2 linked regions of the Pelodiscus sinensis genome follow. The protein of the gene in region 1 binds, or shares a complex with, the protein of each later gene. Links are inferred from orthologs where the notes say so. Each region holds a gene or a part of one and is shown on either strand. Other genes may lie near its edges.

What was found.
Region 2: the proteins of FBXL5 (region 1) and IREB2 are in contact, whole or in part, in a cryo-EM structure (PDB 6VCD), measured with the Homo sapiens proteins. The link is inferred for Pelodiscus sinensis from reciprocal best matches to the Homo sapiens genes FBXL5 and IREB2. Residues at the interface, in NP_036293.1 of Homo sapiens: Asp656, Glu657, Tyr661, Cys662, Asp663, Asn664, Ile665, His669, Ala670, Asp671, Thr672, Ala673, Ser674, Gly675, Cys676, Gln677, Asn678, Leu679, Gln680, Cys687, Arg688, Ser689, Gly690, Glu691; in NP_004127.2 of Homo sapiens: Asp89, Phe90, Ser129, Asn217, Val220, Glu221, Arg224, Arg228, Ala758, Gly759, Ser760, Arg763, Asn764, Thr777, Pro778, Arg779, Asn782, Ser783, Tyr784, Gly785, Ala786, Arg788.

Annotation. Positions count from the first base shown.
Region 1 is NC_134715.1:107,298,242-107,314,524, reverse strand, and holds the start of FBXL5 (F-box/LRR-repeat protein 5), read right to left. Parts: upstream 8,638-16,283; 5' UTR 8,540-8,637; coding exon 8,456-8,539; intron 7,998-8,455; exon of another isoform or gene 7,782-7,997; intron 1-7,781.
Region 2 is NC_134724.1:39,661,398-39,677,529, forward strand, and holds the start of IREB2 (iron-responsive element-binding protein 2), read right to left. Parts: upstream 5,880-16,132; 5' UTR 5,861-5,879; coding exon 5,755-5,860; intron 2,193-5,754; coding exon 2,103-2,192; intron 1-2,102. UniProt on the Homo sapiens protein: RNA-binding protein that binds to iron-responsive elements (IRES), which are stem-loop structures found in the 5'-UTR of ferritin, and delta aminolevulinic acid synthase mRNAs, and in the 3'-UTR of transferrin receptor mRNA.

The sequences.
Region 1 (16,283 bases):
CATCAGTACAGTCCTGGAAAATCCGGGATGTATGGCCTGCGCAAAATCTTGACTGTCCTTATCACTGTAACTGGCTTCTGGAGTTGATCCCCCAATGAATGGAGACAGTGAGGACTCTCTCTGATGGTTGTTTTGAACTTAAAAGGCCTGTAGGCACATGCCCCTCCCCTTTCAAAACTCCATTCTGACAGCTAGGGCATGCTGTGCTGCTCTGCTCCTGGGACATAAAGCAAATCATTAATGTGGAATGCTCCTGCTGTGTCACACAATAAGAACACAGGCAAGCCGGGCGGGAGTGCGGTGTATGCACAAACAGCAGAGAGATTCTGTGCTGTGCAAAGCCAGGGAGGGAGGCAGGGGCTGAGGCTGGGGACTCAGGCTCCCTGTTTCAGGACTAGATGCTTACTACTCTGTTAGAATTTACGAGATAGCATGCCCACACACTTACTGTCCTCCCATGACATGCTTGCTGTCACACACTCACTTCAGTTGAAAAGCAGATGGCAATGGGATTGAGAAACCTGCATTATGTGATGCTGTATCTGCCTTCAATCAGTGTGGACATCAGACTTCAATAAGCTAGAGATAGATACAAGGTGTCAGCCAAAACTCCTGGAAAAAAACAACAACAAACTTTTCCCTCACCCATCAGCCAGGAAAATCAATCTATGCCCTTCATCCAATATTTGTCCTGGATCTCACTATTGGGTTCATCATCCTCATCTTTTGAATATACCTCAGAAAGAGCTTTTGTTCCCCTAAGTATAGTCAGTATATGATAATATGGAAGCAACAAATATTCAGAGTTAACAGTAAAGACTTCTGGTGAGCTGCCAACTATCAAACCAAAAAGTTAGCCTGAAGCTCTGCAAAACATATCAATACAACATATTAAATATGCATATGTTGTGTTACAATTGCTATGCAAGCCTTAACATGATTTTACATTCATAAAAGGAAATGCAATCATAATGCTGCACAAAGTATTATTTCAATTCAATAAAGCATTATCTAAGCATGTGTCTTGAGCATGTGTCACCACACGAGAGATAACAAAAGATCAAGACTTCCAAAGGGAAAAAAGCAATAACAGAAATATATTAATTTACTCAATCATGAGAAATGGAAATAGAATAATGATTGTACTACAACAGCTAAACAGTTATTTATGTATACAATCTTTCCCATAATTTACAAGGCAACTCACAAATTGTATAAAAACAGTGTGATTCTAGTTTCTAGAGCCATATTGTCACTTTCTTGGCAACCAGTAGTGATACAAGTGAAACAAACTGAGTGGTTACTAAATACAGGTTGGACCTGACTGGTCTCAAATTAGGGGGTTTGCCAGACCATTGGAGATGCTTCTTCTCCTGACCGGTACTGCCACCAGGTTAGGGTGCCAGCCTGCCTCTGATGCTGTCCTAGCCCCTCACGGATCTCTAAATGCTGCCAGACCCGCTGCAGTGGGGCCAGAGCACTGCAACCACCTAGCTTCACAGCCAGGACTGAGAGCTGGGACTGCAGTTCCGCGCTGGAACCAGAGCTCCCTAGATGTCACTAGATCTGGAGCTCCCTGGCTGCTGGAGCTAGAACAGGGCTGGGCCAGAGCTGCCTGGCGGCTGCTGGGAAAGAAGCTCCTAGCCATGACACCTGCCCCCACGCACTCAAACACACACATATTGGGCTCACGCTTCTGACCCACCACCAAACCTCCCTGTTCCTCGGCTCTGTGGTCCATGCCACACCACAGATGTTGCTGGAACAGAGAGTCCCAGTTAAAGGAGGTGCAACCTGCAGTTATGCTACTCCAGGTCAGCCTATCCCCTACAATACATTACAAGCTGCACTGTGCAAACGATTACAATAATTCTGTCACTTATTGGAAGTTTACCTAAGTTCAACAGAAGTAATCAATAGGATAAAATTAAACTTCTCCTTTTAATATATTTTAGCTAAACAGATTAAGAATATGCATACCACACATATAAATTTAATTCTACATTATTACAGTAAACTTCTGATAATCCATCACCTTTAGGACCCGGGGGTGCCCGATTATCAGATATGCCGGACTATCGGAAGGTGGGGCTATGAGGGGTCTGGGGTGGAGTGTGGGGGATGCACCCCTCGGCGCTGCGGGACCAACCCAGCAGCACCCCAGCTGCTCTGGCCCAGGCGTCTCCAAGTCAGCCGCTGCTGAAACTGACCAGCGGCTGACTCTGGGAAGCCGGGGGCAGAGCAGCTCCAATAGTCCGGCTGCCCGGAGCACTTCCAGGTTCCAGATGGTCTCAGAACTTTTCACCATGGCCATGGGGCAGACAAACAATACCACCTTCTGGTCTTCAAAAAGACTTGAGCCCCTAGATTTCATTGTCCCTGGAATCCAGCCCCAATCACCACAGTGCTATTTTTAGTGTTCTCCCTTCCCATTCATACGAGTCCATCTACCTGACTGGGAGATTCACTCCTAGCTGCAGAATCTAGCGTTCCCTCCCTCTAATTTTCCCACCCATATGCAGAATGAATTTTCATGATGGGGAGGGGATAGGGCTGAGTGGTTCAGCATATGAGAGGGGGCTCAGGACTGAGGCAGAGGGTTGGGGCTCAAGCTCTCAAGTAGATGCTGGAAGGATAGCAATTGATAAAGTGGGGAGGGAAAAGTGATTTAGAGAAGCAGGAACATATTTTGCTGCTGGTCAGCTTTGAAGGGAGGAGGAAGAGAGAGCTGATGTACCAGTTGCTGTTTAGGAAGATCTGAACACGGAAGGAGATGTGGTTGAGGAGCTAGGGAAGGAGCTAATTCTGAAAACTCCAATACAATAAAACTTTAAACAATGAATAGTTCTGCAGCAACTTAGAGACTAACAAAAACTGTACATGGTCTTAGTCTCTAAGGTGCTGCAGAACTATTTGTTGTTTCTCAATTTTTTTCAGTTACAGACTAACACAACTACCCCTCTGAGACTCCAATACAATAGATTTGCTGGTTTCTCTCATGTTTTAGACCTCTGATTTACCTGAGAACACCTCATTTAAAAAAAATTATATTAGGAACACACTGAAATTTTCATATGTGATTGAAAATATTGTAAAGAAAAGTGATGAAATCAGTGTTATTTTCTAATAAACACAATGAGAAGTTACAGAACTGTCTCGAAACAAAGATGGGAAAATAAATTGATGGAGTTACTGAGAATGGCAAGTGGCATCGCTAGTGAGCTCATTTAATAGTCTTGGGATATTGACGAGGGGATAGCAAAGTTGTAAATTATAAGAAGGCCTCTATTATTTGAATTTAGAAACTTTTATAAGGACTGAAAGACAACTAATAATGTGGTTTTATATAAACATTCTCTATAAACTCCTCTTTATTTTTCTGTCTTAGTAGAGTTGAATTTGCTTGGTGGTTGTTTCTCATACTAAATCTAGGGAAGTATTCACTAATCAACACTGTAGTCACTGCTTAGAGTTTAATTATTACCAAATATCACTGCATATGTTTCTGACAACAAACTCACAGCTCAGTGAAATGGAGTGAGTACTGAAAAAATGGAAATATTTTTTCTAATGTAAAATGAAAATAATATTAAGAACTGTTATGCAGCAAGATAGAAATTATCTGGGCTATGTAAATCCAGAAAAGAGTCAGCTTCTTCACAGTCAAATGTGTCACTGAACAAAATTTTGTCTTTTGAAACAGAAAATCAGAATGCTGATTTTGATTAGGGATGTTAAAAGGCTTTTTTCTTTTTTTTAATTTTCACTGGTCACATGTGGAGAGAGGGAGCAGTTCCACAGGAGCCAATGCATGCTGAGCCAGCTGGCTCCCCTCCATGGTGTGTAACCATGGAGGTTAATCAATGAGCCCAGGTTCATCAGTTAACCATTTAAACATGTATACTAACACTTCCCTAATTTTGAAACCCTTAATAATGAAATATTTTCATTGCCTGTGTTGCTAGAGAAATGTAGTCACACTTTAATAATATAAATCCCTTATCCAGGCCTTTGAGCAGCATTTCAGTTCAGTCAGGAGCATTTTCTCCTCAAATTCAACAAAGATTAATGTACAATTATGTTGTAAGAAGTAAAAGACGCCAGCTTGATAAATTCCCTTCAAAAGAATGGTTTGAAGTACCTTTTCTTTAATGTGCTCCTCCAGACAGATTTAAAATTTACAGGTTCACTAACATGTGAACAGAAATTAGAGAAAGATCTTAAAATCAAAATTGACATGCTTCATAGGATGTGAAAGGACAACCTGAAAATAATTAATATTTTATACAGTGAAACCTGATGTGTAGCCTTGCATAGATACAAAATTAGTCTCTGAATCTGTAAAAATGAGCCGTAGATACCCACATGCAGAGGTGCAGATATGCACAGAAATAAAGTAGATATCCACAGATTTGCACGGCTCTACCAATTTGGTCTGAGTAACTAACAATAACCTCATTAGAATGGAAGCCAAAAAACAATTCAGGAACTTCTCCATTATCTAGCAAACATGACTGATCTCAAATACAAAGGTCGGAGATAAAGAAGGAGCTTAAACAGAATCAGAATACTAGAACTGGAAGGGACCTCAAGAGATAAAATCCAGTCCCCTGCCCTCACAGCAGGACCAAGCACCATCTAGATTAGGCATGGGCAAAATGCAGCCTGCCAAGCCACCGGATTCAGCCCGCGGAGACAGCAGGCCCAGGCAGGCTACCCTGCTTGCCCCGCAGCCCCACGCACCATGCAGAAACACAGCAGCCAGGCTTCCATTCTGTCTCAAAACTAGAGGAGGTGGGGGTTCAGGAGCCACCTCATCTTCATCCCCAGCACAATCCCACTGGCTGGTTTCTGGCCAGAAACCAGCCAATGGAAGCTGCCTGTTTGAACAACAGGCAGCCAAGAAGAACCATAACCCCACCCATCCTCAGCTCAGTTATTCAATGAAGCACATGGCCAGGCAAGCAGGCAGTCAGGCAGAGAAACATTTTAAGCTCTGCAAGCCTTAGCTGTGCAGGCAGGCAGATTTGGCTGCTGGCTGGTAAGTGTCCTGACCACTGCCTGCCTCTGGCACTCCAGCCCCTCCCTGCCCTAACCCTCTTCTCCCCCCCCCCCCCAATCTCAATATACCCAAACCCTCTGTCCCCCTCTTACGCTCAGACCCCTGCCAAGATCTGGGGCCCAAATCTCCTGCCCCAGATCACAATCCCCTTCTACCAGAGGTCACATCCCAAAACCCTGCACTCCAATCCCCTACCCTAGGTCACAACCGCCTCCTTCACCCAAACTTCCTCTCAGACTCCAGTCTCCCTCCTACACTCCAATCCTTTACCCCAAAGCACCACTCTGCACCCAACTTCCATCCCAGACCCCACATCTCCTTTATTAATATTATGGAAGAGTGTGACCCTTGACCACTATCCAAAATTTTGGAATGGCATCCTGCAAAAATTATTGCCCACCTCTGATCTAGATCATTCTGAATAGACGTGTGTCTAACCTGCTCTTAAATATCTCCAGTGAGGGACATTCCACAACCTCCCTAGGCAATTTATTCCAGTGTTTAACCACCCTGACAGTTCAGAAGTTTTTCCTGTTGCCCAAGCTAAACTTCCCTTGCTGCAATTTAAGCCCATTGCTTCTTGTCCTATTATCAGAGGCCAAGGAGAACAATTTTTTTCCCTCCTCCCTTTTACATATTTGAAAATCACTATCATGCCCTTTCTCAGTCTTCTCTTTCCCAAACTAAACAAGTCTAATTCCGTCAGCCTTCCCTCATAACTCATGTTTTCTAGACCTTTAATTATTTTTGTTGCTCTTCCCTGGACCTTCTCCACATCTTTATTGCAATGTGGTGCCCAGAATTGGACAGCACTCCAATTGAGGCCTAATCAGTACAGAGTACAGTGGAAGAATCATAAGATCATAACAACGGCAATTCTGGGTCAGACCAGAGGCCCATCTAGCCAGTATCCTGTCTGCCAACAGTGGCCAATACCAGATGCCCCAGAGGGAGGGATCACAACAGGTAATCCTCCCGTGATCCCTCCCCTGTCTCCTACTTCCAGAGAAACAGAGGCTAGGGACACCATTCCTACCCATCCTTGCTAATAGCCATGGATAGACATAACCGCCATGAATCTATCTAGCTCTTTTTTTAACCTGTTAAAGTTCTAGCCTTCACTGCATCTTCTGGCAAGGAGTTCCACAGGCTGACTGTGTGATGAGTGAAGAAAACCTTCCTTCTGTTTGTTTTAAACCTGCTGCCTATTAATTTCATTTGGTGACCCCTAATTCTTATATTGTGGGAATAAGTAAATAACTTTTCCTTATTTACTTTTTCCACACCAATCATGATTTTTAGACCTCTATCATATCACCCCTTAGTCTCTTCCTCTCCAAGATGAAAAGTCCAAGTCTTTTTAATGTCTCTTCATATGGGACCCGTTCCAAACCCCTAATCATTTGTGTTGCCCTTCTCTGAACCTTTTCCAATGCCAATGTATCTTTTTTGAGATGAGGCAACTACATTTGCACACACTATTCAAGATGAGGGCGTACCATAGTTTTACATAGAGAATAAGATAGAAAATATCTTATTGCCTTTATCTCTTTTTTAATGACTCCTAACATTCTAATCACTTCTCGTCTTGTTCACAATACTCCTGATAATACATCCCAGAATCATGTTTGCTTTTTTTGCAACAATGTCAGACTGTTGACTCATATTTAGCTTGTGGTCCCTAGATCCCTTTGTGTAATACTCTTTTCTAGACAATCACTTCCCATTCTGTATGTGTGAAATGGACTGTTCCTTCTTAAGTGGAAAACTTTGCATTTATCCTTATTAAACTTCATTCGATTTACCTCCGACCATTTCTCTAGTTTGTCCAGGTCATTTTGAATTTTGACCCTAACCTCCAAAGCACTTGCAACCCTTCCAAGCTTGGCATCATCTGCAAACTTAATAATCATACTCTCTATGCCATCATCTAAATTGTTGATGGAAGATATTGAACAGAACCGGTCCCAAAACAGACCCCTGCAGAATCCCTCTTGTTTTGCCCTTCCAGCATGATTGTGAACCATTAATAACTACACTCTGAGTAAATAAATATGTTCAACCCAACACAATCTTACATATTTTCCTTCCCTTCTTACACTTAAAAGGGCAAAGCTAGATTTGTTGCCCCAGTACCTAGTTTGTGATGGTTGGGCCACAGTTTATTGCATGAATTTGTTGGAAAATTAGAAAGTAAACCCACAGAAGACTGGACAGTTGAATACCCGATTTTGTCAATATATAAAACAACCCACTCTCCAGTCCTACTACTTAAGCATCACTGAAGTGTGCTTTGAAGACAAACTGATTGATTTGCTATAAACTTTGTAGCAATGTTGAAAAAGCAAGTGCATTAATAAAAGCGTATGAGCATTCAAAGCCCAATACAGAAGAATGTTAAGGCCAAAAACAGCAGCAATCAAAGGATATGTTTTACAGTAGGGGTGGGCTCAAACTTTTTATAAGCATAGAGGACGACATTTTACTGATTGTCTCACACATCCCTCTGCACTACCTGTACCTGTAATGTAGATGCCTCTCCCAAAAGGCAGATCAATTGTGATCACATAACATGGCTGCGGAAATGACAAAGGTTACTTTTGTGGAAAAATAACATTAAGAAGCTATTTAACGTATTCTTAAAGCGACTATCAACGTAGTTTTGCAACTTCAAATGAGAAAAGTCAACATCAGCAGAGAGCTACGCCAGCAGCTGCTCTGCGGCCACCATTGAGATTGGCACACCATAGTTTGGGGGGAGGCGCCAGATTTCTAAAATCGCAGCCTTTCCAATGTAATCAACAAGCCTTTTTATGTTTGAGAAATCTCCTTCACAGCCATGTCGGTCCTTCAGGGGCGCCTGGCACGTGATACCGACACCTGCACAGCACGCCAGGGCCCTGTACACCTAACTCCGACAGTGGAACCGCACGGGGTAAGTTGCTGCATCTTATAAAACGGGAGGGGCAGGGTGGGCGGCTCCACAACAAGCCCTGCTCTTCCCAGCCGGGAAAAACCAGCGGAGCCTTGCTGGGAGTTTGGGGGGGGGGGGGTGAAAACCGCCTAGAGGGGAAGAGAGCCCGGCGGGCGGGCGGGGCAGCGGGACGGCCCCCGAGCAGTACAGCCCTGCTGCCGGGGGCGGCGGGAAGCAGACGCGGCTACTTGTGCGCCGGGGCAGGCGCAAGTTGCCCAGCTCGCGGGGCTGAAGAAGCCCCGGCTGCTGGGTGGACATCGGGCCGGAGCGAGGCGCTCGGCAGCCCGCCAGGGCCGCATGTCCCTGCCCTGTCCCGGGGAGAGGGGCGGGGACCGCTGCGCACTCTGTAAATCCTCCCCTGGGGGCGGGCAGGTCCCACCCCGCTCCGGCCGCGGGCTCCCCCTCGTCCCGCCCGCTACCTTGTCGCAGTAGAGCCCGACCAGCTGCTTCATCCGCCAGTGCGGCGCCGTGAAGACATCCACCTCGTCGGGGAAGGGAGCCATGTTCTCCCCATAGAGACTCGCCCTGCCGAGCGCGAGTAGCGGCACCAACCGCGGCAGCAACCACCGCTCTGCGCATGCTCCAACTCCCCCGAGGCCGCTCTGGGAGCGGGCCGTGCTCCCCGTCACGTGACAGGGGACACCTGAACGGCGGCGTGCCGCAACGGCCCCGAGAGCGCGTCGCAGTGTGCGCGCATGCGCGGGCTGTTTGCGAACGCCGAAGCCCCCTGAAAGAGTTAGCGTTCGGGGGCGGCGGGGCTCGCTCTATGGGCGGAGCTGCCAGCGCCTCCTTGCAGGCTGCGCCCTTCTCTAAGCTGCCGGGCCCCTATCTCCAGGGCCAGCCCCTTCCTATTAGAGCAGGGACAGAGGTTGGATTTCGGGGCATCCTCATCTGATCCCATGGATCCCCTGGCCCCTCATGCACCTTTCCGCAGGGAAAAAAATGGAACCATCTGGCTCTCCAGTGCACATGTGCTAGGAATAGAAACAGTCGTTTGCACATTGGAAACCACGTAACTGCTAAAAATCCTAGGGGTTACATGCCCTTGCAGGCTCTAGTATAAAGCTTACGTAAGCTTTATACTGCAGAGCCCTTGGCAAAGCTGGCTACGTTAGAGCAGGGCAGGCAGCCAGCTTATAACTATAAGAGAAACCTCTAAGCTGAGACTTAATCAGTTATCCCCATGTGCTAGTAAGGTCTGCTGACATTGGGAAAAGCAATCCCCAAGCTGCCATGGGTAGAGTGCACACAACACAGTTGACATAAAGGAACCCAGTCTACTGAATTATATGCTAAGAGCCCATTTCAGAAATGATTTGGGATTTTACTCAATGGGAGTTGAAGGCACCTTTCACAGAATCCAGTCCTTCAAGTCCTTCAAGACCTGAGCCATTTTTTCTCATTACTTTGTAAAGTCTCATTCAACTGGATGAAAGCTTAGAAGTTGCATTACTGAACTAGGTGTAATACCAAAAAATTTACTCAACCTTTAAATCCTGACTAGATGCCATACCAATGTCTGAGGTTGGGGAAAGCAAAGTTACTCACCTTCGTGCAGTAGCTATCGTTCTTCGAGATGTGTGTCCCTGTGGGTGCTCCACATTAGGTGCTGGGCTTGCTCTGGTGCCGCAGGACGGAGATGTTCAAAGCCGTAGTCAGTCGGACCACACATGCGCGGAGGGGGGAGGGTCTTGCGGCATTCATGCTCTCCCGCGCTGCACAATCCAGTCTCAACCAGTTCCTCGGACCCGCCTCAGAATCTGCAAAAAAGGAAACAGACTCCGAAGTGGGGAGGAGGGCGGGTAGTTGAGCACCCACGGGGACACACATCTCGAAGAACGATAGTTAATGCACGAAGGTGAGTAACTTCATTCTCTTCTTCAAGTGATGTCCCCGTGGGTGTTCCACATTAGGTGACTGAGAAGCAGTACCCACCCAAGTGAAGGAAATGGGATTCAGATGTCACTATGTACGTAAGGAGAGAACTGCGGATGCTACAGAAGTATCTGAGAGCCATCTTGTTTGAATAGCGTAGTGTTTGGCAAACATTTGATAGGATGGCCAGGTGGCAGCACTATATACATCAGAAAGGGGTACGCCTTTAAGGAGAGCAGTAGAGGTAGCCACTACCCTAGTGGAGTGGGCCCTAAGGGATTGTGGAAGGGGAACCTTTCATAGTGTATAGCACTGGGTTATACAGGAAACAATTAGGTTAGAGATTCTCTGGGATGATAAAGGTTGTCCTTTAGACTGTTCTGTGTGGGAAACTAGTAATCAATCAGTTTTCCTAAATGGTTTAATACGCTCCAAGTAAAAGGCTAGGGCCCTATGTATGTCCAGTGTATGGAGGGTTGCCTCACATGGTGAGGTATGAGGTTTTGGGTAAAAGGTAGGTAGCACTATTGGCTTGTTGAGATGAAACTCTGAGCAAACTTTAGGAGTAAAGGCTAGGTGATATCTTAGAATAACACTACCCTTATTGAAGATGGTGTAGGGAGGCGATGCCATTAATGCCGAAATCTCACTTGCTCTGTGTGCTGACATGATGGCGATGAGGAAGACCAGCTTTAGGGTGAGGGTCTGGAGAGGTATGGTGACTAGGGGTTCGAAAGGTGGTGCTGTTAAGGTGGAGAGTACCAAGTCCAGGTTCCATAGTGGGGTGGGAGTGCACAGAGGAGGGTTTAGGTTTAATAGGCCTTTGAGAAATCTCTTGGTGAAGGAGTGAGCAAAGAGTGAAAATCCCTCTATTGGCTGTCGGAATGCAGTCAGTGCCACGAGATGGACTCTTAAAGACGATAAGGCTAGTCCATTCTGTTGCACGTGTATTTAGGATGATGGAAATGGGGACCATTTGAGGATCCACGTTGTGTTCAGAACACCAGGAAGTGAAATGTGGCCATTTGGAAAGGTAAGTGATGCGTGTATTTTGTTTCCTACTGTGTATGAGATCATCCTTGACACGGTCAGAACATAGGGCCTTGGAGGCATTCAGCCAGCTAGGTACCAGCTGAGAGGTGAAGTGTATGCAATTGCGGGTGAAGGAGAAAGCCTCACTTCTGGGTCAGAAGATTCTGGATTAACAGCAGGTGATACGGTGGACGTCGTGCAAGTCACATAAGAAGTGGACACCAATGCTGACAAGGCCACTCCAGCGCTATCAGGATGACCGAGGCTTTGTCGAGCTTGATCTTCTGTAGGACTCTGAAGATAAGTGGGATAGGCGGAAAAGCGTACATGAGGGGACTGTTCCAACTGAGGAGAAAGGCATCCCCTAAGGAGTGGTGGCCTAGGCCCACTCTGGAACAGAATCGGTGGCACTTTCTGTTGCTGACGGTAGCGAATAGGTCTATTCGAGGGGAGCCCCAATGGCGAAAGATGGAATGGAGAATATCCCGATCAATTTCCCATTCGTGGGCTATTGCGAAATTCCTACTGAGGGGATTGTGTTGTAGATGCCAGGTAAGTAGGATGCCAGAAGGGTGGTGCCATCGGCAATGCACCAATTCCACAGTCGGATTGCTTCCGTACATTGCGATCGGGATCGCACACCTCCCTGGCGGTTTATATAATACATGGTTGCTATGTTGTCTGTGAAGACGCCCACTGTGGAGTTGCGGAGGTGTGTACGGAAATGTCTGCAGACATTGGCAAAGGCCCTCAATTCAAGGAGATTTAAGTGTAACAGGGATTCCTGTGGCGACCAGCGACCTTGTACGGAGAGATCGCCTATGTGAGTGCCCCAGCCGATGAGGGAGTCATCTGTGGTCATGTGACAATGCAGTGGCAGGTGATGAAACGGAGTGCCCGAAAGCAAGTTGTCATCTCCCGTCCACCAGTAGAGGGAAGACCTGACCATGGATGGAACATTTACCCACTTGCATACATTGTGCGTTATGGGATCGTATATTGTGGTCATCCAGTGTTGTAATGACCGAAAGTGTAAAATGGCGTGGGGAACGACGTATGTCGCGGAGGCCATATAACCCATTAATTTGAGTATGATCACGACTTGTACTGAACGTCAAAGATGGGCAGTGACGACTGCGAATGTTTTTGTGAAGACCCTTGGAGCTGTTGCGAGGCCAAAGGGCAGTACTCGATATTGGAAGTGATCTGCGCCAATCATGAAGTGTAGAAATTTTCTGTGAGCGGGGTGAACCGTCACGTGGAAATAGGCATCTTTGAGGTCAAGAGCAGCAAACCAATCGCCCTGCTCCAGGGCCGGTAGAATAGAGGTTAAGGTCACCATCTTGAAATGTTGTTTTCGAATATATTTGTTTAACTGTCGAAGGTCTAGTATAGGTCTCCATCTGCCGTTTTTTTCTGTACCACGAAATAACGGGAATAGAATCCTCTCCCTTGGAATTGAGATGGAACTCTCTATTGCTCCTATGGGGAGGGGAGGGGAAATCTCGGCCCGTAGCAGATCGTCGTGAGAGGGGTCCCTGAAGAGGGACAGGGATGGGGGAGTTGTGGGCAGGAGAAAATGGAATGGAATCACATAACCTGAGCAGATTATTTCTAAGACCCATCTGTCTGTAGTGTTATTGGCCCATTTGGTTGTAAAAGGGCCTTAGAAGATGGTGAAAGATGTGACCGAGGCTTTGGGGGGCTATATGCTTGCTTCCGACCAATGCCTCAAACGTACTGCTTATTGCCTGGATGCGTTTGCGCACGGTTATTTTGATTCTGGCGTCTTATTGATCTCTGGCGTTGATTTTGGTGTGGCTGGTCGAACTGCCAATGTTGTGGTTGCCGGTGTTGTCTGGGATGGAGATAATCGTAATGCCTTTGAAACGGTGTATAGCGTTTCCTCCTGTAAGGTGGGATGTACATTCCAAGTGACCGTAAGGTTGTTCTAGTGGTCTTGCTGGAATGTAAGACTGAGTCAGTCTTTTCCCCGAAGAGTGAATCCTTTTCAAAAGGCAAATCCTCCACTTTGGATTGTAGCTCCCTTGGTAATCCCGCTGCTTGGAGGAATGAGGCCCTACGCATAACTACTGCAGTGGCTGTGGTGCGGGCTGCGGTGTCTGCTACATCCATGGCAATCTGGAGACTGGTTTGAGTGGTGGCATAACCCTCCTGGATTACAGATTCAGGAAAGGCCTCCATCAGGTCTGTCAGCTTTGCATAATTATCGAAATTATGATTTGATAGATGCGCTAGGTAGTTAGCGAGTCTAAGGAGCAAAGTTGCAGAGGTGTATACTTTCCTCCCAAATAAATCGAGCCTTTTTGACTCCTTATCCAACGAGTTTGTTTTACACTGAGAGGCCTTGGCTCGTTGCTGGGCAGCATCGACCACCAAAGAGTTGGGGTGAGGGTGGGAGAACAGAAATTCCAACCCTTTTGGGGGTACAAAATATTTTTTTATCGGCCCACTTATTAGTGGGAAGGGCAAAGGCAGGAGTCTGCCAGTGTTCGTTAGCAACTTCCAAGACAGCCTCATCCAAAGGTATGGCCAGTTGGTAGTATGGGTAGTCTGCAAATTTTTTAAAAGACGTTGTTTGTCCTCTTAGGAGGAGCCCTGGAAGGAGAGGAGGCGCTCCGTTTCTGAGGCTGCTGCGCAGGCCGAAGCTGGCCCTGGCGGTTAGAGCGCCTTCTCGAAGAGAATCTTGCGGAGCCTCATTTCGCAGTCATGGCGGGCCCTGGCAGTAAGTTTTGAGCAGTGTACGCATTTTTGCGGTACATGGCTCTTACCAAGACAGCGGATGCACGCGGCATCGCCGTCAGACGCAGGCATGGAGTCGCTGCACAGGGAGCATTTCTTAAACCCGGCATTATGGATGTTAATGCTGCTCCTTCCCTTTGTGTGCTCCGGCTTGTTTTCTATTTTTTTTTTAAATTATATACAAGAATCTAAGGTATAATGGAGAAGAGAAGGAGAATGGAACTTAAAGGACTATATACTAACAGGGAAAAACTTATTCTTTTTTTTTTTAAATGAACGTGAACAGATATAGAACTATTAATAAACGATTATAGAAATAAACTGAAGAATTATAACTGGGTTTTTCTCATGAAAGGCTGAACCAGAAGGAGAGATGATTGCTCCATCTGCAGCCTGAGGCGGTTGAAGAGGAACTGGTTGAGACCGGATCGTGCAGCGCGGGAGAGCATAAGTGCCGCGAGACACCCCCCCCCCCACACACACACCTCTACGCATGCACAGTCTGACTGACTATGGGTTTGAACATCTCCGTCCTGCGGCACCGGGGCAAGTCCAGCACCTAATGTGGAGCACCCATGGGGAAATCACTCGAAGAAGAACCTTTTTTGCATCGGGGGCTGCTAACCCATTGAAAAATCAGTTGGAGGGGAGGCCACACACAAGTGAGAAGACAAAAAAAACAACCCAAACCCTCACTGATGTGGCCCTTGACTGAGAAGAAGAAAGATATTCACTGTGCACACCAGAGCCTAGTGGGGCCCAGGCTAGTAGATTTTGTGTGCTGCAGTCTCTCAGTAGGTGTGGACTCCCCGATGCTAGGAGGAGATCCTTGAACCTCTGGGGCAGGATCCAGCCCCTAGGCCTGAGGTTCCCTACCCACGAACTAAGACATACAAGAAGCTGATGTACAGTGGAGCAGTGTTTCTCAAACTTTTTTTTTATAAAGTACCCCCTTTTTTTAAAAAAATTATAAGTATCCCAACTACCTACAATTTTCATACACACAAAAAAAATTTCTGCCATCTCAACACATTTGTTGAAGCAACTTAATCATAGCTGGGTGGGCGATGAAATTTTTGGGTGTAAAAAGTACAAAAATAATACAGTACTGTAAAACTTAAAACAAAAATTCAGTTTTCTCCAAATTTCAGTTGTGTTGACGTACCCCCCAGACTTCTCTTGATTATCCCTGAGGGTACTTGTACCACTGGTTGAGAAACACTGCAATAGAGGATGTGTCCACTGTGATTGGCAAGACAATCCTTTTTCCTAAACTGGAGTTAGGGATCCAATGCAGACTGCAAGCTATTCAGTATTTCTATACCACATATGACTGGATAAAGCAAGGTCAGTGCTAATCATTTAATACCCAAGAGAGGTGGTATGGATTCAAGAGCTTATTCTTTGGGAACTGCGTTGATATAATAGACTTCTGTAAAGACATTTACATAGCACTGTGCAACGCTTACTAAAAAAATTAATGCTACACAAAATCATTGCAGCATATATTAAATGTATTTTAAAAGTCTGTATTCCAAAAGTGACTAAATAGGAAATCATCAGTGAACTGAGGTGCTTCTAGTGGAGTCCCCGGTGCTAGTCAATATCTTTATAGATAAACTGGATAAAATATATAAAATTGTTGGCAAAGTAAGCAAGTAACACAAAAATGGTGGAGAAATTAATAATGATAGGTCAGTCCTACATAATGATCTAGATCAGTGTTTCTCAGCCTCTGGTCCATGAACTGGCACTGGTCCCTGAGATCTTTATGACACAGTTTAGAAAGGCAGCAAGCTGTCCCTTGTATCAAAAAGATTCAGAAACAGTGATTGAGATCACTTCAAAAATTGTATTTGAACAAAGTACTTTTTAATACAGTCAAATGCAAGGTCATACTTCTGGAAACAACATATAGCACTCAATAGGGGGCAGTATTTTACAGTGACTTTATGAGTCATGGAGGATAGCCAACTCAACATGAACTCCCAGTGTGGTGCAGCTGCTACAGGAGTAAACACCTAACAGCAGGAGTCTAAAGCTCAATCTATTAATTTATGAAAGGAGGGATTAAGAGCAGTGTTTCCTGTAATGTGAGCACTTGGGCAGCAGCCCAGGAGAGATTCAGGTGCCACCCAGCTGACTGGCAGAGTGCACACAGCTGACCAGAATCAGCAGCATGTGTTTCTATTGGTGGTGTACATGTGCACATGTCTTGGTGTACATAAGTAAATGTATTCTGCACATGGATGGGAAAATTTAGAGGGAACATTGATTAAGAGGTAGCTTAAATCTATCAGAAAACAGCATAATGAGATCTAATGGGTGGAGAATGAAGATAGATCAGGGATCGGGACATCATATGGGGCCACAAGGGATCACATGCCCCCACCCCAACAAAATGCTAGAGACAGGAGGGGCCATCCAGCAACCAGCCGGGGAGGGCCAGGCTCCCACAGCAGGAGTCTGTGCCTTCTCCGCCTCCCCCCCTCCCCCCACACACTCACTGGTAGTGGTTGGGAAAGCGGATCAAGGCTTCCATGCTGCTTTGCTCTCCTGGCTGTACCACGCTGGGGG
Region 2 (16,132 bases), on another chromosome or scaffold:
TTGGCGACCCCGCCCCTGGACGCATAGCGCATGGGGGGCCCCTCCCCCGGGCACCCAGCGCGTGTGTGGCCCCGCCCCCCGGGCACGCGGCAGTTCCAAAAGGTTGGGGACCACTGATTTATAGTATAATCAGGGAACTGTTCAGCCAGGAAATACCCAGTTAGGAAGGAGATCAAAGTAAGTCTCCATACACGTAAGGCAACACCAAGGGAGCTAGAAGCCTGACAGCAAGTACCCTTGCTGCATCACTTAGGGCAGTGATCTCCAACCTTTTTAAACAAAAAATCACTTTCTATTTATGTGCAATACAAGATCTACCTCAAACCCAAATACCCCTACCCTGATTCCTTCCCGCCACTCTGAAGGCCCATCCCTGCTCTACCCTTTCTCCGAGGCTTCACCCTGCTCACTCCATCCGCCTTTCTTCCCCATCTTCACTCACTTTCACCAGCATGGGGTAGGAGGCTGAGGTGCAGGCTCTGGGAAGGAGTTTGGGTACCCCCTGCTCTGCCTCTCTCAGTGGCTGCAGGAACACACCAGCCACTTCCAGAAGCAGCAATTACCATAGAGGGTCAGGGCTGGGACAGGGGTTCAGGAAGCAGGCTCTGGCTGGGCACTATATAATTGAGATGGCTTATGGGTGTGGAGCAGTGGGGTTAAAGCAGGCTTACCCTGTCGTGAGCCTGCACCACTCCTGAAAGCAGCTGGCATGTACAGCAATGGCTCCATGTGCCGACAGTTTCTACCGGTCACAGAACCCCACTACTGATCAATGGGACCTGCAGGAGTGGTGTCTGCAGGCAAAGACAGGCAGAGAAGGGGTCTCCACATGCTTTCTCAGTGGCTGCAGGAACACACCAGCCACTTCCAGAAGCAGCAATTACCATAGAGATAATGACCCCAGCCACAACAGGTTAGGCATTTTAGAACTCACTACTCAAAGAATTAAATTTAAGCATAAGAGAGAAATGAAACTTATGAAATGCACAGACCAGTCACAAACCAAAACTAACACACTTCATAAGCGGTTAAAGAAGTAAAAACAACAACCCACGTATATGTTGGGTCGGGAGACAAGAGTGATGGACAGTGTGTGTGAGTGTAAGACTGACAGAGAGACACAGTGTGTGAGAGTGACAGATATTTACACTGCCAAGTTCCCTCCCTTCCCTTCTCTCTGTGTGGAGATCGGGTACATGAATAAGAGGGGAGGAGACACCCTGATATCACTGCCCCCCTCTTTCCCCTCCCACACCCTGCATAGCAAGCAGGAGGCTCTTGGGGGGAGGGACGGTGCAGCTCCAAGCAGAGGGGTGGAGCAGCATGACAGTGGATGGAGGGGAAACTGAAGTGCTAACTGTTGATAACTTCCTAGCCAAACCAGTCAGGATCATCTGACAGAAGCTCCAAGATCGCGATCTACTGGTCAGTGACCACTGACTTAAGGGAAATGCATTTGGCTCTAAACTGTAACACAAGGAAACCCTCAAAGAAACAGGAGAGTGTCTTTAGAGTAAATAGGTCAGTGATACACAAATGTAGAAGAATTATGTGATAACACCATAAATTCATTTCAGTGCATTTATTTACAAGAGAGGTAACAGAGTAGGGATGTAAGCTGTTCCGGCTCGCGCCTGGTCTCCCCCACAGCGCTTCAGCTTTTTAAATGTATGAAGAGCTGGCAAGCTCTTCATACATGTAAAAGGCAGAGCCGCGGAGAGGTTAACTCCCAGGGCCAGGAGCTAACCCCGTTGCAGCTCCGCGATTTCCTCCGCTTATCGACTAACTGATTAGTAAATTAAACTCCATTTAACATCCCTAACACAGAGTTTGTGTTTTTGTCATCACTTGTTAACTCTGTAACAGAAGTAGTGATTTTCTGTAATGGAAATGTTTTCTATGACTTACTGAAAGCATTCAAAATAAAGATCAAGTAGCATCTCTCACTGCTCTCATAGCACAAAAGCTTGGTGAAGCATCATTTCTTTCATCTCACAACAAGCTACTACTCAACTTTTTAGCTCCTCCTCCTGCATCACATAACTGGTACATATTTACCAGTGGAACCATACGAATAAAAAGCTATTCAAAAGTAGTATTACCATACTTGGTGCCTCCAAGTTTAGGGATATTGTAGAACTTCTTTTCTGGGTTGCCGTTTAATCTTTCAATTAAGTACTGGAACGGAAATTCTGAAAAATAATGCAGCAAATTATGAAGTGGAAAGAAAAGATGGTGCAGCGGTTCAGGCAGTAGCCTGGGACTCAAACGAATGCAGTTCTATTCCCTGTTTCACCAGAGATGTCACTGTGTGACGCTGGACAAATCACTCAGGGCCAGATCTTTAGGTGCTTAAATAGGTACCAACTAGGATTTTCAAACCTCTTAAGGAATGAGGCTTTCAATAGGAGTTAGACATGTAGAAACCTTTGTAAGTCCCACTACATATCTAAATACCATTACAAATATGGCATCTAGTCTCTATATAGGGTATGTCTACACTACCACCCTAGTTCGAACTAGGGTGGTTAATGTAGGCAACCAGAGTTGCAAATGAAGCCCGGGATTTGAATTTCCCGAGCTTCATTTGTATCTTGCCAGGCGCCGCCATTTTTAAATGTCCGCTAGTTCGGACTCCGTGCCCGCGGCTACACGTGGCACGAACTAGGTAGTTCGGATTAGGCTTCCTATTCCGAACGGCCCCCTCAGGGATTGAACTCACAACTGTGGGTTTAGTAGGCTAATGCTCAAACCATTGAGCTAGCCACTTTATTAACAGACCTTATTTACCAAGGGAAGAGAAAAAAGTCTGTAGAAAAGAACTGCATATTAATTTGAAATTGTTTTCAATATGAATGGTATTTACAAAAATAATATTTATTGCCACTCAATTGATATTAATGTAAGTGGACAAAAATGTTAATAACGTTTTAGGGAGGCCCAAAGAACATACATAAGAAATTCAATTTTGTTTTAAAAACAAAAGTTAAAACTTGATACCACCCACAACCAGCCTTACAAGGATTAATGGAATAATTCCAGTGAGTAAAGTTAAATATAAGGCTACGTCTTCACTGGCCCCTTTTCCGGAAGGGGCATGTAAATTTCACCAGTCGTCGTAGGGAAATCCGCGGGGGATTTAAATATCCCCCGCGGCATTTAAATAAAAATGTCCGCCGCTTTTTTCCGGCTTTTAAAAAAGCCGGAAAAGAGCATCTACACTGGCCCCGATCCTCCGGAAAAAGTGCCCTTTTCCGGAGGGTCTTATTCCTACTTCAAAAAAGCGGCGGACATTTTTATTTAAATGCCGCGGGGGATATTTAAATCCCCCGCGGATTTCCCTACTACGATAGGTGAAATTAACATGCCCCTTCCGGAAAAGGGGCCAGTGTAGACGTAGCCTCAGTGTTTGCACGAAAATGGACTTCATTGATTTTAAAAGATTGTACCAGCAATAGAAGCTTAACTTTTTTAGTGATCTGCCTTGGTTCTTTGGTCACATTTTCTCTATAATGTAAATGCAGCATCATGGGCACTTCACAGATTATTTTACTTTTATGATAATTTAATACAATGATGACAGGTTCTACTAACAGCTGATCATTTAGACCCTAACTCTGAAAGGCAAACATGCCTGAGTAGCACATTACTCACTTGCTAAATGTATTTACAGGATAAGGAAATTAAAAAGGAACTGGAAATGGTCAACAATAACAGAAGAACGTGGACATAATCATTTAAAAAATACAGTGAGATACTTAGGGAGATAAAATACAGGACTATGTAGCACTTTAAAGACTAACAAGATGGTTTATTAGATGATGAGCTTTCGTGGGCCAGACCCACTTCCTCAGATCAAAAGATTAGTGAGATAGGTATTCACAAACATTTAAAGCAGGGGTGGGGAAGCTCAGACCCCCCAGAGCTGGAGGCAGCCCCCGGCTTGCCAGGATCTGGCCCCCAAGGCTTAAGCCCGCCGCCCCAGCATTGGAGAGCCAGCACTGGTACTCCAGCCCTCCCACTGCCCCACCTGGGGGCTGGAGCAACAAAATCTATTAGGCTGAGCCTCCCTATGCTCTGGTGTAGTAGGGGAATGTAGGGAGTGTCTTTCTCCTCAGTTGAGGGCCACTTCTCACTTGTGTGCAGCCCCAATTGATTTTTCTGTGAATCAGTGGCCCCCAACTTGAAGTGAGACAGCTTAATAAATAGTAACTGCATGAACCAGCCCTTCCACCTTCTGAAGTAATGATCGACATGGCACTCAATTATCTAAGTGATGGGATTTTTAACCCAAGGTTAAAAACTAAAGCCCTATCTGTTCCTTGCTTCTCTACAGGATTGTCAAATACTGCATCTGACGAAGTGGGTCTTTGCCCATGAAAGCTTATGCTCCAACACTTCGGTTAGTCTATAAGATGCCACAGGACTCCTCGTCGCTTTTGCAGCATTGTCAAAGGTACTCAAAAAGAAAACAAGCAGGAGATCCATTGTTTTCAACCCATTTCTGTTGTTAACCCAGGACTTGGAAGAGCTTGGTAAAGACTGAGGGTACGTCTAGACTACCGCGTTTTGTCGACGGAAGTTTTGTCGACAGATACTGTCGACAAAACTTCCGTCGACAAAGAGCGTCCAGACACACTGAGTTCTGTCGACAAAGCAAGCTGCTTTGTCGACAGAACTCCGTAGTCTGGACGCAATGTTACAGGCAATAACACCTTCTGTCGACAGAGTTCTGTCGACAGAAGGTGTTACGCCTCGTAAAATGAGGTTTACCAGCGTCGACAAAACGGCTGAGTTCTGTCGACGTTATGTCAACAGAACTCAGCGGTAGTGTAGACACTGGTATAGTTTTGTCGACAAAAGTCCAAAAGGTGGGGATAGAATTGAAGAGAAGAAAATCCTCTTTCGCTCTCCTAGGCTCTGTCTACACTGCAAAGCGACAAAACTAGGTAGCCTAGACACACCCTGAGAGACTTGGGGTGTGTCTAGACTACCTAGTTTTGTCGACAAAAGTGGACTTTTGTCGACAAAACAATACCAGCGTCTACACTACCGCGGAGTTCTGTCGACATAACGTCGACGGAACTCCGCGGTTTTGTCGACGCTGGTATACCTCATTTTACGAGGCAAAACACCTTCTGTCGACAGAAGGTGTTCTTTCTTGCCTGTAACGTTGCGTCCAGACTACGGAGTTCTGTCGCGGCTTGCTTTGTCGACAGAACTCCATGGGTCTGGACGCAAATTGTCGACGGAAGTTTTGTCGACAAAACGCGGTAGTCTAGACGTACCCTCGGTGACAGACATGCCTGCCCAGAGAAACGTGGGGCCCAGTACATCATGCTCGTGGGGACTCCACCAGCCCGTGTCGCGGCACGAATGCTTGGCAGGTGTGTGATGGGCCCTGCTCAGCTCACCCTTCGCTAAGGGGGTCACCCCCCGCCCGTGTCGCAAGGGCGGGGCTTGGCCATTTTGTGGGGGGGGAGAGCTGTGGGGCGGCCCCCGCCCGGCGCGCAGACAAGCCGCGACGGGAGCGCGCAGGCGGAGCGCTACCAGGGCGGGGTGCGCCCGCTACGCAGCCCCGTTAGATCTACACGCCCAGGGGAGACGGGATTCAGCCGTGACCGGCGAGGGGCCGAACAAAGGGCGGCGGATCGGGGAGGGGCGGCGAGCGGGGCAGGCGCCTGCGAACCGGGGAATCGGGGCGCGGCTACGCGGGGCCCGTCGGCGGAGGGATCGAGCCCCGCTCGCACTCACCTGGCCGTGCAGGGTCCATCGCGAGCGACCATATTAACGCTACGTGGGGAGGGGGGCGCGGAGGAAGACTGGGGAGGCGGAGGGGGGCGGCGCCAGCAGCAAACATCGCGAGATTACCCGTGGATTCCGGCCATCTGATTAGCTGACAGCGAGCGCAACACCTTGGGTCAGGGCAAGAAAGGAAAAACAGCGGTGATCTCGCGAGACCTACGGCGGAGGGAGGGGGGGAACGGAGCGAGGCAGCTCTCGCGATACTTCCAGGCTCACTCCAGGAGGGGGTGGTGGCTTGTCTATGGTTGGGCTGGCCTGGATGCGAGCGTGAGGGGGCCTGGCATCACATTAACAGGGGAGCTGCGAGCCCTTTCAATCCCTGCTATTGCAAAGGCTTGCTGCTCCTGGCCTTGCTCCTGGTGCATTGCCTGGAGCCAGGCATGCTAGAGCCCTTTCCGCTGCTTCTGTCCAAAGGGCTGCCCCTTCCCCAGGGCTGTTGCCTGAGAGTTATGGGGAAGGTGACAGTCCTTTAAATAGAAGCAGTTGAAAGGGTTCATGCATCCCTGGCTCCTAGGCAATGGACTAGCATGGGGTTGGGAGCAGTGAGCCCTTTCAATAGCTTCTATTAAAGAGCTTGCACCTGCTGAGTGGCTGCCGGGTAATGCATCTGTGGGGAACGTGTGAGCCCTTTAAATAGAAGCAGTTAAGTTGGCTGGTAGCTCCCACCACCACTAGTGCATTGCTAGGGTGACAGGACTTGCAAGCCCTTTTAACTGCTTCTGTTTGAAGGGTTCACACCATGGCTACGTCTACACTGGCATGATTTTGCGCAAGAACTCTTTTGGGCAACACGTTGTTTGGCGTCCATTGTAAAGGTGCGAGCCTTTTAAATAGAAGCAGCTGGAAAGGTTTGTGTGTTCTGGCTCCCAGGCAGTGCTCTAGGGCTACGTCTGCACTTGCGGCTTCTTGCGAATCCGCAGAGCATCTACACTGCCCATCCGCTCTTGTGCAAGTAAATGTACAGTATGGCGTGATAAGAGACGGCTCCGTGTGCAAGAGCTACGCTGTTTTCTATCAGGTGTAAGCTCTAGCGCAAGAGGGCAGTGTGAACGTTCGGCAAATGCGTACTTGCACAAGAATTGGCCTCCAGTCAAAAACACAGGTGGCCTCTCTGACACTCCGTACAGACAATCATCACTCGGTTCCCCCAATTGCCTCCCCCCTTAAAGGCACAGGCATGCAGCACAGCCATTTGCCACGTGTGGCCCGGATAGCAGCCAGAGGGAGGAATGGTAGCTGCCCAGCCTCAGTCAGGTCCCTCAGACCCCCACCAAGGAGCCACCCCAGAGCACCCAGCAGGCCCAAAGGGGCACCAAGTGGCGGGCTTCATGCTGGAGCACCGCTGAGGTGACTACCTCCTGGATCTCTGGGGAAAGGAGGAGGCCCTCCGGGAACCCAAGTCCCAGAGGAAGAATGCCCACATATACTCACAGATGGCCCAGGCGCTGGCCGTGCGGGGACACCCAGCCCGGACCTGGAACAGGTGTGGGCCAAGGTGAAGGACCTGCGCCTCACCTACGTGCGGGCCAGTGAGCGTGGGGGTGGCGAAGCCACTGCCTGTCCCCATTATCACCGCCTGCAACAGATCTTGTTGGACAAAGGGGCCAGTCCCCTGCTGGCCCACGTGGACACAGCGGTGGCCACCCCAGTGGTCTGATGTAGGCAACCGGAGGAGGAGGAGGAGGAGAAGGAGGGAGACTGGTCCTCAGATGAGGAGGAGGAGGTGGCAGAGGACAGCAGCCAGACCTCACCATCCTGGCCCACCATCCTGACATCACCATCAGTCAGGATGTGTCCCGGGCATCCTCTGAAGCTGGCAACGGATTGTCTGGTGAGTGCAGTGGCTACCATTCGCAAGTGTGTTGGAGAAGGGGTGGGGGAGAGATAGCAGTACATGGCACAGCCTGGCCACATGCTGCGCAGAGGCATGCAGCACGTGCAACCTTGTGCAGCCAGGGTTGCCAGGTGTCCAGTTTTGAACTGGACAGTCCAGTCTTTGAGCTTTCTGTTTGGGAAACAAATTGAGGGGATATAAATGAGAAAATATACATGTCTGGGATTTTCTAACTAAGGTGTAATGTAGACTGTCATGTAACGTCAAGTGTGTCCGGTATTTTTATTGAAACCATCCGACAATCCTACGTGCAGCCAGACCGAGTGGCACAGAGAAGTGGCAGCTCGCCCCAGCACACGCCTGGGACCCCGGGGATTCCGCTCGACCAGACTGGGGGAGGGGCAGTTGGGTTTGACCAGGAGTAGGCCAGCCCAAGGTTGCAGGCCTGACCCCACACAGCCTAAAGGGTGCTGCACACAGCACACATCCATGGTCACCCCTGGGACACTGTAGCTTCCCCTGGGAAAGGGACAACAGGCTCCCCCAAGCACATGCGGCCCCCCTGGGGGCTCCTGGGCCACCTTGGGACTCCCCTCACGCTGCCCCAGGGGAATTCCCCCTCACCAGCCACACCTGTCCCCAGGCATCGTGACGTGCTGGGAGGAGGGCACGGGGCTCTGGAACACCATTTGGGGCAGGGCTCACTGACCATGTTGCTCTCCTTTGCTTCTCCTGCAGTGGGACCCCCTGGCAGCGAGGGATCTTCCAGCCCCATCCCGCCGGCGCAAAGGATCCAGGGCCCATCGCAGCGCTCCCGGGACCGCCACCAGCTGCTCTGCCACCACGTCTGCGCAATTGAACTCATGGAGCACGCTCTGATGGAGAAGATCCGCAGATGCGAAGTGGCGGGAGCGGGTGTGGGGCCAGTACCTGGAGTGCTGCGACCATGTGTGCACTCTCCTGGGCACCATTGCAGACCCGATCGACCCTGTGCAGCAGCCCAATGCTGCCAGGCCCCGCTATGCCACCTTCAGCTCTTCCTCCGCTTCTCCCCCTGCCTTGCCCATGCCCCCTCCCGAGGTCTTCCCTGCCTTGCCACCTCCTGGTGCAGCCTGCCCCAGCCCGGCATGAGGGGCAGAGGTGTCCCTGCACCCATGGGGGTGGGAGAGGCCTCCATTCACAATCATGAGGCCCTACCAGTTCCGGGTCCCCTCCTCCCCCCTCTTCCCAGTTCAGGGTCCTCTCTTCCCCCCTCCTCCTAGTTCAGGGTCCCCTCCTCCCCCCTCTTCCCAGTTCAGGGTCCTCTCTTCCCCCCTCCTCCCAGTTCCGGGTCCCCTCCTCCCCACAGTGCACTCCCTTTCCTGTGTAAATAAAAGTGCCTTATCTAAAGCCAGTGCATTTTATTTATTGGAAGGTGAGGGAAGGGTGGCAGGAAGGGGTGGTGATGGGAGTGGGAATTGGGGGCACAGGGGCATCCCTGCGGTCATAGGTGTAGGGGCGGCCTATTGTGGGGCCTGATCCAGCATCACCCGGAGGGTTTCCTGGACCCGCACCCCATGGTGGTTGGTAGGCCTGGCCCTCACCTGCCATCCAGCCTGGGAAGGCGGCCTCCCTCTTCCCCTCAATAATATGGAGCACGCAGCATGCCGAGAGGACCTCCGGGATGTGCTGCACCCCCATGTCCAGGCGGGTCAGGAGACATCTGAACCGTGCCTTCAGATGCCCAAAGGTGCACTCCACAGGATTGCGGGCCCGGTCCAGGTGGCTGTTGAAAGTGGCCTGTATGGCCGCATCAGCCAGGATGCAGACTGGCATCTCCAATGGTGAATTCCCACTAGGGGAAGTAGGTGCCCGCCTCCAGCCCACATAAATGTCCTGGAAGCAGCCCTGGTGGTCCACTAGTGTCTGGAGCACCACTGAGCAGTAGCTCTTCCGGTTTATGAACTGGGCCGCTTGGTGCTCTGGCGCCCGGATGAGGATGTGGGTTCTGTCTATGGCTCCCCCACAGTTCGGGAACCCAAGGCTGGCAAAGCCGGCAATGGTGATGTCCATATCATGGGGGCGGATCACCCTCTGTAGCAGCACATCATTGATGGCTTGGACAACCTGCAGAGGGGCACCTGGGAGCACAGGGGATGCATGGAATGAGACACAGTGCATACATGGGCCCCTAGGGTGTGCTCACCCTCCATTTGATGGCCCCTCCCCCCATGGAGGCCAGGGCCCTCTGCTCCCCGGGATTTCCTCCCCCCCTCAGGGTCCCAGGGGAGGGACAGGATGACCCCCTGGGTGTGGGGCTTCCCCCTGCCCCTACAGCCTCTCCCCGCCTGGTCTGGCTCCTTCCCTCCCCCAGGACGAGCCTGTGGTCCACGGAGGGCCTTACCTGCCGGACGACCGTGCCGACGGTGGACCCGCCCACCCTGAACTGGTTCGCCACTGAGCGGTAGCTGTCTGGGGTGGCCAGTTTCCAAGAGGGCAATCGCAACCCTCTTCTCCACGGGGATGGCGGGGCGCAGGCGGGTGCCCTGCTTCCCGAGCGCAGGGGTGAGCCAGGTGCAGAGCTCATGGAACGTCCCCCTGCGCATCCGGAAGTTCTGCACCCATTGCTGGTCACCCCATTGTCCCAGCACCAGCCACTCCCACCAGTTCCCACTGGGGTCGTAGCTCCAGAGGCGCCTGTCAGTGGTGGAGTGCGGGTGTCCGAGCCCAGCTGCAGCCATGGCGAGGTCCTGCACCTGCTGCCCACTCTCCAGCTCCTGCTGGAGCAATGTGACTCCCTGGTGGAGGAGCTCCACAGTCTTTTTCATGGCCATGAGGGGATGTTGCTGGCTGGGGTCCTCCTTCGGCTCCATGGTTGTGACGGTGGCAGTGAGGGTGCCCAGGGGCACTTTCTAGGAACAGAGGTGACAGGTGCTGTTGTGGCTTTCGCTCCCTCACAAAGGAAACAGCCGTCCAGGAGTCCCTTTAAGTACTTTTCCCAGTGGGGCTCTGGCGCATGCCCACAGGCACTGCTGGTGACCTCTTGACATGGCCAAATTTCTTCCAGAGACACGTTCTTGTGCAAGGGCTTCCCGCCAGCGTGGACGCTTTCTTGTGCAAGAGCTCAGCGTTCTTACGATGCGGTTCTGGCCAGTGTGGATGTTTGCTTACACAAGAGATCTTGCACAAGAACCCGCCAGTGTAGACAAAGCCTAGGAGTGGGGAACCCTGTTAACTACTTCTATTTAAAGGGCTTGCAGCTCTGGTGCAACTAGCACTTTGCCTGGGAACCAGGACATGCAAGCCCTTTCAGCTGCTCCTATTTAAAGGGCTTGTGACCTCCCCATGGCTGCCGGTGCAAGCCCTTTAAATAGAAGCAGCTGAAAAGGCTCACACATCTCCAGCTCTCAGGAGGCAGGGCCTGCAACTGCTGCCTGAGCTGGATCAAAGCCTTAGGTGGGCTGGATCCAGCCTGCTGAGAGGTGTTTTGTCTACTCCTGCTGTAGATACTGGATTTGCTCTGGACACAACTTCACAAGACAAGGGCTGCACCTCAAAGAAGAGGAGTTAGGGACATAAGGGGTGACTTGCCCTGGCCCTATGAGTAGCCTACAGGTTCTATCAAGGTGGGCCATTTATGCAGGATCACCTCCAGAGCCCTTTTTAAATATTGGCTTCACAATAGCTATCTTCTATTAGGTACAGAAGCTGATTTAATCGATAGGTTACAAACCAGTTAATAGTTCCACAATTTCCCATTTGAGTTCTTTTAGAACTCTTGGGTGAATGCCATCTGGTCCCGGTGACTTGTTACTGTTCGGTTTATTAATTAGTTCCAAAACCTCCTCCTATGACACCTCAATCTGTGACAATTTCTCTGATTTGTCACCTAAAAAGAATGGTTCAGGTTTGGGAATCTCTCTAATGTCCTCAGCTGTGAAGATTGAAGCAATGAATTCATTTAGTTTTTCTGGAATGACTTTATCATCTCTTAGTGATCCTTTAGTGTCTTAATCATCCAGGGGCCCGAATGGTTGTTTAGCGGGTTTCCTGATTCTGATGCATTTAAAAATATTTTGCTATTACTTTTTGAGTTTTTGGTTAGTTGTTCTTCAAACTCCTTTTTGAATTTTCTCATATTTTTAAACTTAGAGTTTATGCTCCTTTCTATTTTCCTCCTTAGGATTTAACTTCCACTTTTTAAACAATGCCTTTTTATCTCCCACTGCTTCTTCTAGTTCACTGTTAAGCCATAGTGGCACTTTTTTGGTTATCTTACTGTGTTTTTTTTAATTTGGGGTATACATTTAAGTTGGGCCTCTATTATGGTATCTTTGAAAACTTTCCGTGCAGATTTCAGGGATTTTTCTTTTGTCACTGTACCTTTTAATTTCTGTTTAACTAGTTTCCTCGTTTTTGTGTAGTTCCCCTTTCTAAAATTCAGTGCCACAGTGTTGGGCTGCTGTGCTGTTTTTCCCATTTTATTACATTATGTTGTAATAATGGATGTTACATTTTATTACATTATAGTCACTATTTCCATGAGGTTCAGTTATATTTATCTCTTGGACCAGATCCTGTGCTTCATTTAGGACTAAATCGAGAATTGCCTCTCCCCTTGTGGGTTCCTGTACTAGCTGCTCCAAGAAGTAGTCATTTAAGGTATCAAGACATTTTAATGTTTGCATCCTGTCTTTAGATGTCATAAACCCAGTCAATATGGGGATTGTTGAAATCCCCCACTAATACTGAGTTTATTTTGATAGCTTCTCCAATCTCCCTTAGCATTTCATAGTCACTATCACCAGGGCTCGCCAAACCGTGGCGAGCCCCACTCGCCGGCCGCACAGTTCGGCACGGTGCGCATGTGCAGATCGCGCTGCACATCTGTGCCGGCTTGTAATCTACTTGCCACGGGTGAGTAGATTACATTAATTGTCGAGCCCTGACTATCACTGTCCTAGTCAGAGGGTTGATAATATATCCCTACTGCTATATTCTTATTATTAGAGCACGGAACTACTACCCATAGAGATTCTATGGAACATTTTGGTTTATTTACTTCATTTGTTTCTATATTTTCTTTCACTTATTTATAGTGCCATTCCCCCACCAGCATGATCTGTACTTCCAATATATTTTGTACCCTGGTGTGACAGTGTTTCATTGACTTGTCCTCATTCCCTCAAGTTTCTATGACACCTATTATATCAATATCCTCCTTTTATAATAAGCACTCTAATTCACCCATCTTACAGTATTATTTAGACTTCTAGCATTTTTGTATAAGTACTTAAAAATGTATCATTATTTATCTGTGTGCCATTTCCTGATGCGTTAGACTCTTTTTGGTTTGTTTCTCATCTGATTTTACCCATAATTTATCATCTTCCATCCTCTCCTCCTCTATTAATAGACCCTCCCCAAGAGATGTCTCTGTTTGATCCATGTGCTTCTCCGCACCCCTCCACTTTCCCCCAGCCATTAATTTAAAAACTCCTCTATGACTTTTTTTAATGTTAAGTACCAGCAGTGTGGCTCCATTTTGGTTTAGGTGGAGCCCATCCTTCCTGTAGAGGATTCCTCTTTCCCAAAAGCTTCCCCAGTTCCTAATAAATCTAAACCCCTTCTCCTTATACCGTTGTCTCATCAACACATGGAGACTCTGAGGTTCTGCCTGCCTACCTGGCCCTGCACGTGGAACTACTGGCTGAACAAATGCAGAATGCAAGACAAGGTACTGAAGTTTATTTACTAAGTTCGACTTCAGTGAAAGCCACATTCCCACTGTTGTAACTGCTTGCGTTTGCTCCATAATATCTGCAGAAGTAAGGTGGAAAAGTTTCTGGGGAGTGGGGGTCAAGGCAAACCGTTAAAATAGTTACCCCATTAAATGGGTAAAATTATATTGTTTAGCCAGTTAACCTGGAGCTGAGTGAAATACTGTCCAGGGGCTGGATCCAGCCCATGAACCACCCTGCCAGGAGTCTTAGGCACACAGCTGCTGCAGTTTAAAGTACAGGTCCTATGTTTCTCTGCTGCAGGGAGCGGGGTTGATTTGTGTGATCTCCCCACCCACAGCCCAATCCTCAGCTCCTATTGGCCAGATAACTGACTTCAGCCAATCTCTCACCTTCTATTGACTGGAAACAGCAAGCCAATCAGAGCGGAGAGATTGGCCTGGGATATGGGGGCAGCGCGAGCCTCTTTCCCAACCTGCAGTTGAGATCCACATGGAGGGAACAGCCTGTATTTTCAAGCGGTCTGGGGCTGCAGCAGGAAGGGAGCCCAGCTTGCCTGGGGGGTGCTGCAGATCAGGAGATGCATAGGTAAGTACTTCCCAGCTAGAGCCTGCCTCTGGCACTCCTGCCCTTCCCACAGCCCAGCTCCCTCCCCCAGGTCACCATCCAAACCCTCTGCACCTCCCTACCTTACGTCACAACTCCCTCCCCGACCCAGAGCCTCCTCCTACATCCCTCCCCCAGGCCAGAATCTTCTCCTGCATCCAAGCATCCTTCCAGACTATGCACCCCATCCCCCTACCACAGGGAACAGACGTTAGTTTGAATTAACTTTCATAGGCGCTACACATACAAACCACTAGTTCAAACTTAATTTGAACTAGCGGAGCGCTTAATTCGAACTAGGTAAACCTCATTCCACGAGGACTAGCGCCTCGTTCGAATTAAGTAGTTCGAATTAAGGGCTGTGTAGCCACTTAATTCGAACTAGTGGGAGGCTAGCCCTCCCCAGCTTTCCCTGGTGGCCACTCTGGGCACCACCAGGGAAACTCTTCTGCCCCCCTCCCAACCCCGGAGCCCTTAAAGGGGCACAGGCTGGCTACGGTGCCCGTGCCAGGTGCAAGCCTGCCAGCACCCAGCCAGCAGACCCTGCACCTGGCACGGCACGAGCCAGCCACCCGCTGCCACCCAGCCCTCCGCCTCTTCCTGGGACCAGGCTGGTGGCTCCCAGAAGCCTGCCCGGGGCCGCAAGAGGCAGGCACCCGCCTGGTCTAGTGCAGACATCGTGGACCTCATCCACGACCTCCACACTAGGCACAGGAAAGTGGCCGTCTAGGGCAGGATAGCTGCCAGCCTGGCCACCCAGGAGCAGGTTTGCATGAAAATCAAGGTGGTCCAGTGAGACCCCAACCCTGAGCTTAGAACGGCCGTACTGGGTCAGACAAAAGGTCCATCTAGCCCCGTAGCCTGTCTGCCAACAGCGGCCAACACCAGCTACCCCGGAGGGGATGGACCGAAGACAACGTCCAAGACATTTGTCTCGTGCCATCCATCTCCAGCCTTCCAAAACAGAGGCCAGGGACACCATTTCTACCCCCTGGCTAATACCGCTCCATGGACCCAGCCTCCATGAATTTATCTAACTTCTCTTTAAACTCTGTTCTAGTTCTAGCCTTCACCGCCTCCTGCAGCAAGGAGTTCCACAGGTTGACTATTTGCTTTGTGAAGAACTTCTTTCTGTTATTAGTTTGAAGCCTGCTACACATTCATTTCATTTGGTGTCCTCTAGTCCTTCTACTATGGGAACTAATGAAGAACTTTTCTTTATGCACCCTCTCCACACCACTCATGCTTTTATAGGCCTCTATCCTATCCCCCCTCAGTCTCCTCTTTTCTAAGCTGAAAAGTCCCAGTCTCTTTAGCCTCTCTTCATATGGGACCTGTTCCAAACCCCTCATCATTTTAGTTGCCCTCCCCACTCCCACCCTCTCTCTTCCCCTCTCCCACCTCCTTTTCCCAGTCTCCCCCAGTTTTGTTCAATAAAGAGAGTTTCTATTTTTGACCACACGTGTCCTTTATTTTGTACATCAGGAAGGGGGGTTAGAGAGGGGTAAGTGGAAGGAGGTGAGAGAGGAATGGGGCACGAGCATTCATGAGACATAAAGGATTTGATGACAAAGGGATCTGGGGTTGGCTGATCCCCGTCTAGACTACCATGCTGTGCTGACAATCAGCTGGTCAGCACAGCGCGGCATGGCCGTTGACGGAGCTATGTAGTCTAGAAACACCCTTACGCTGCTGGACTTAAGAATCTGAGATGAAAGGATACTGCCCGACCTACTTTGGGTGGAACTTTTTCTCATGGTTTATGTTTAATTTAGGAAAACACCAGTTCATCAGGACAAGCTACTTCCCTTCCTTTTATTAAAAGTTTCTTTTTTATACTCAGACTGTGCTTGTAAGTGGAGAAGCATTGCCCCTCAGAATATATCCAGGGGTGACGTGTCAATTCCCCAGGTTACTGTGTGGGGCTCAAGCCAGTTCTGCGTTGCATGGATGGAGAGGAACCCCTAGATATTGAACCCATTCCTAGCTGCTGTTGGTTCCATTAGGCCAGGGGTGTCCAAACTTTTTTCAAAGAGGGCCAGATTTGAAGAAGTGAACATGCGTGAGGGCCGTCCCCGCACTCTCAGCCCCAAGGTGGAGGGCCCGCAGGGTCGGAGGCGGGCGGAGAGCGCAGGGCACGCCGGCCTCACGGCGGCCCGGGGGCAGG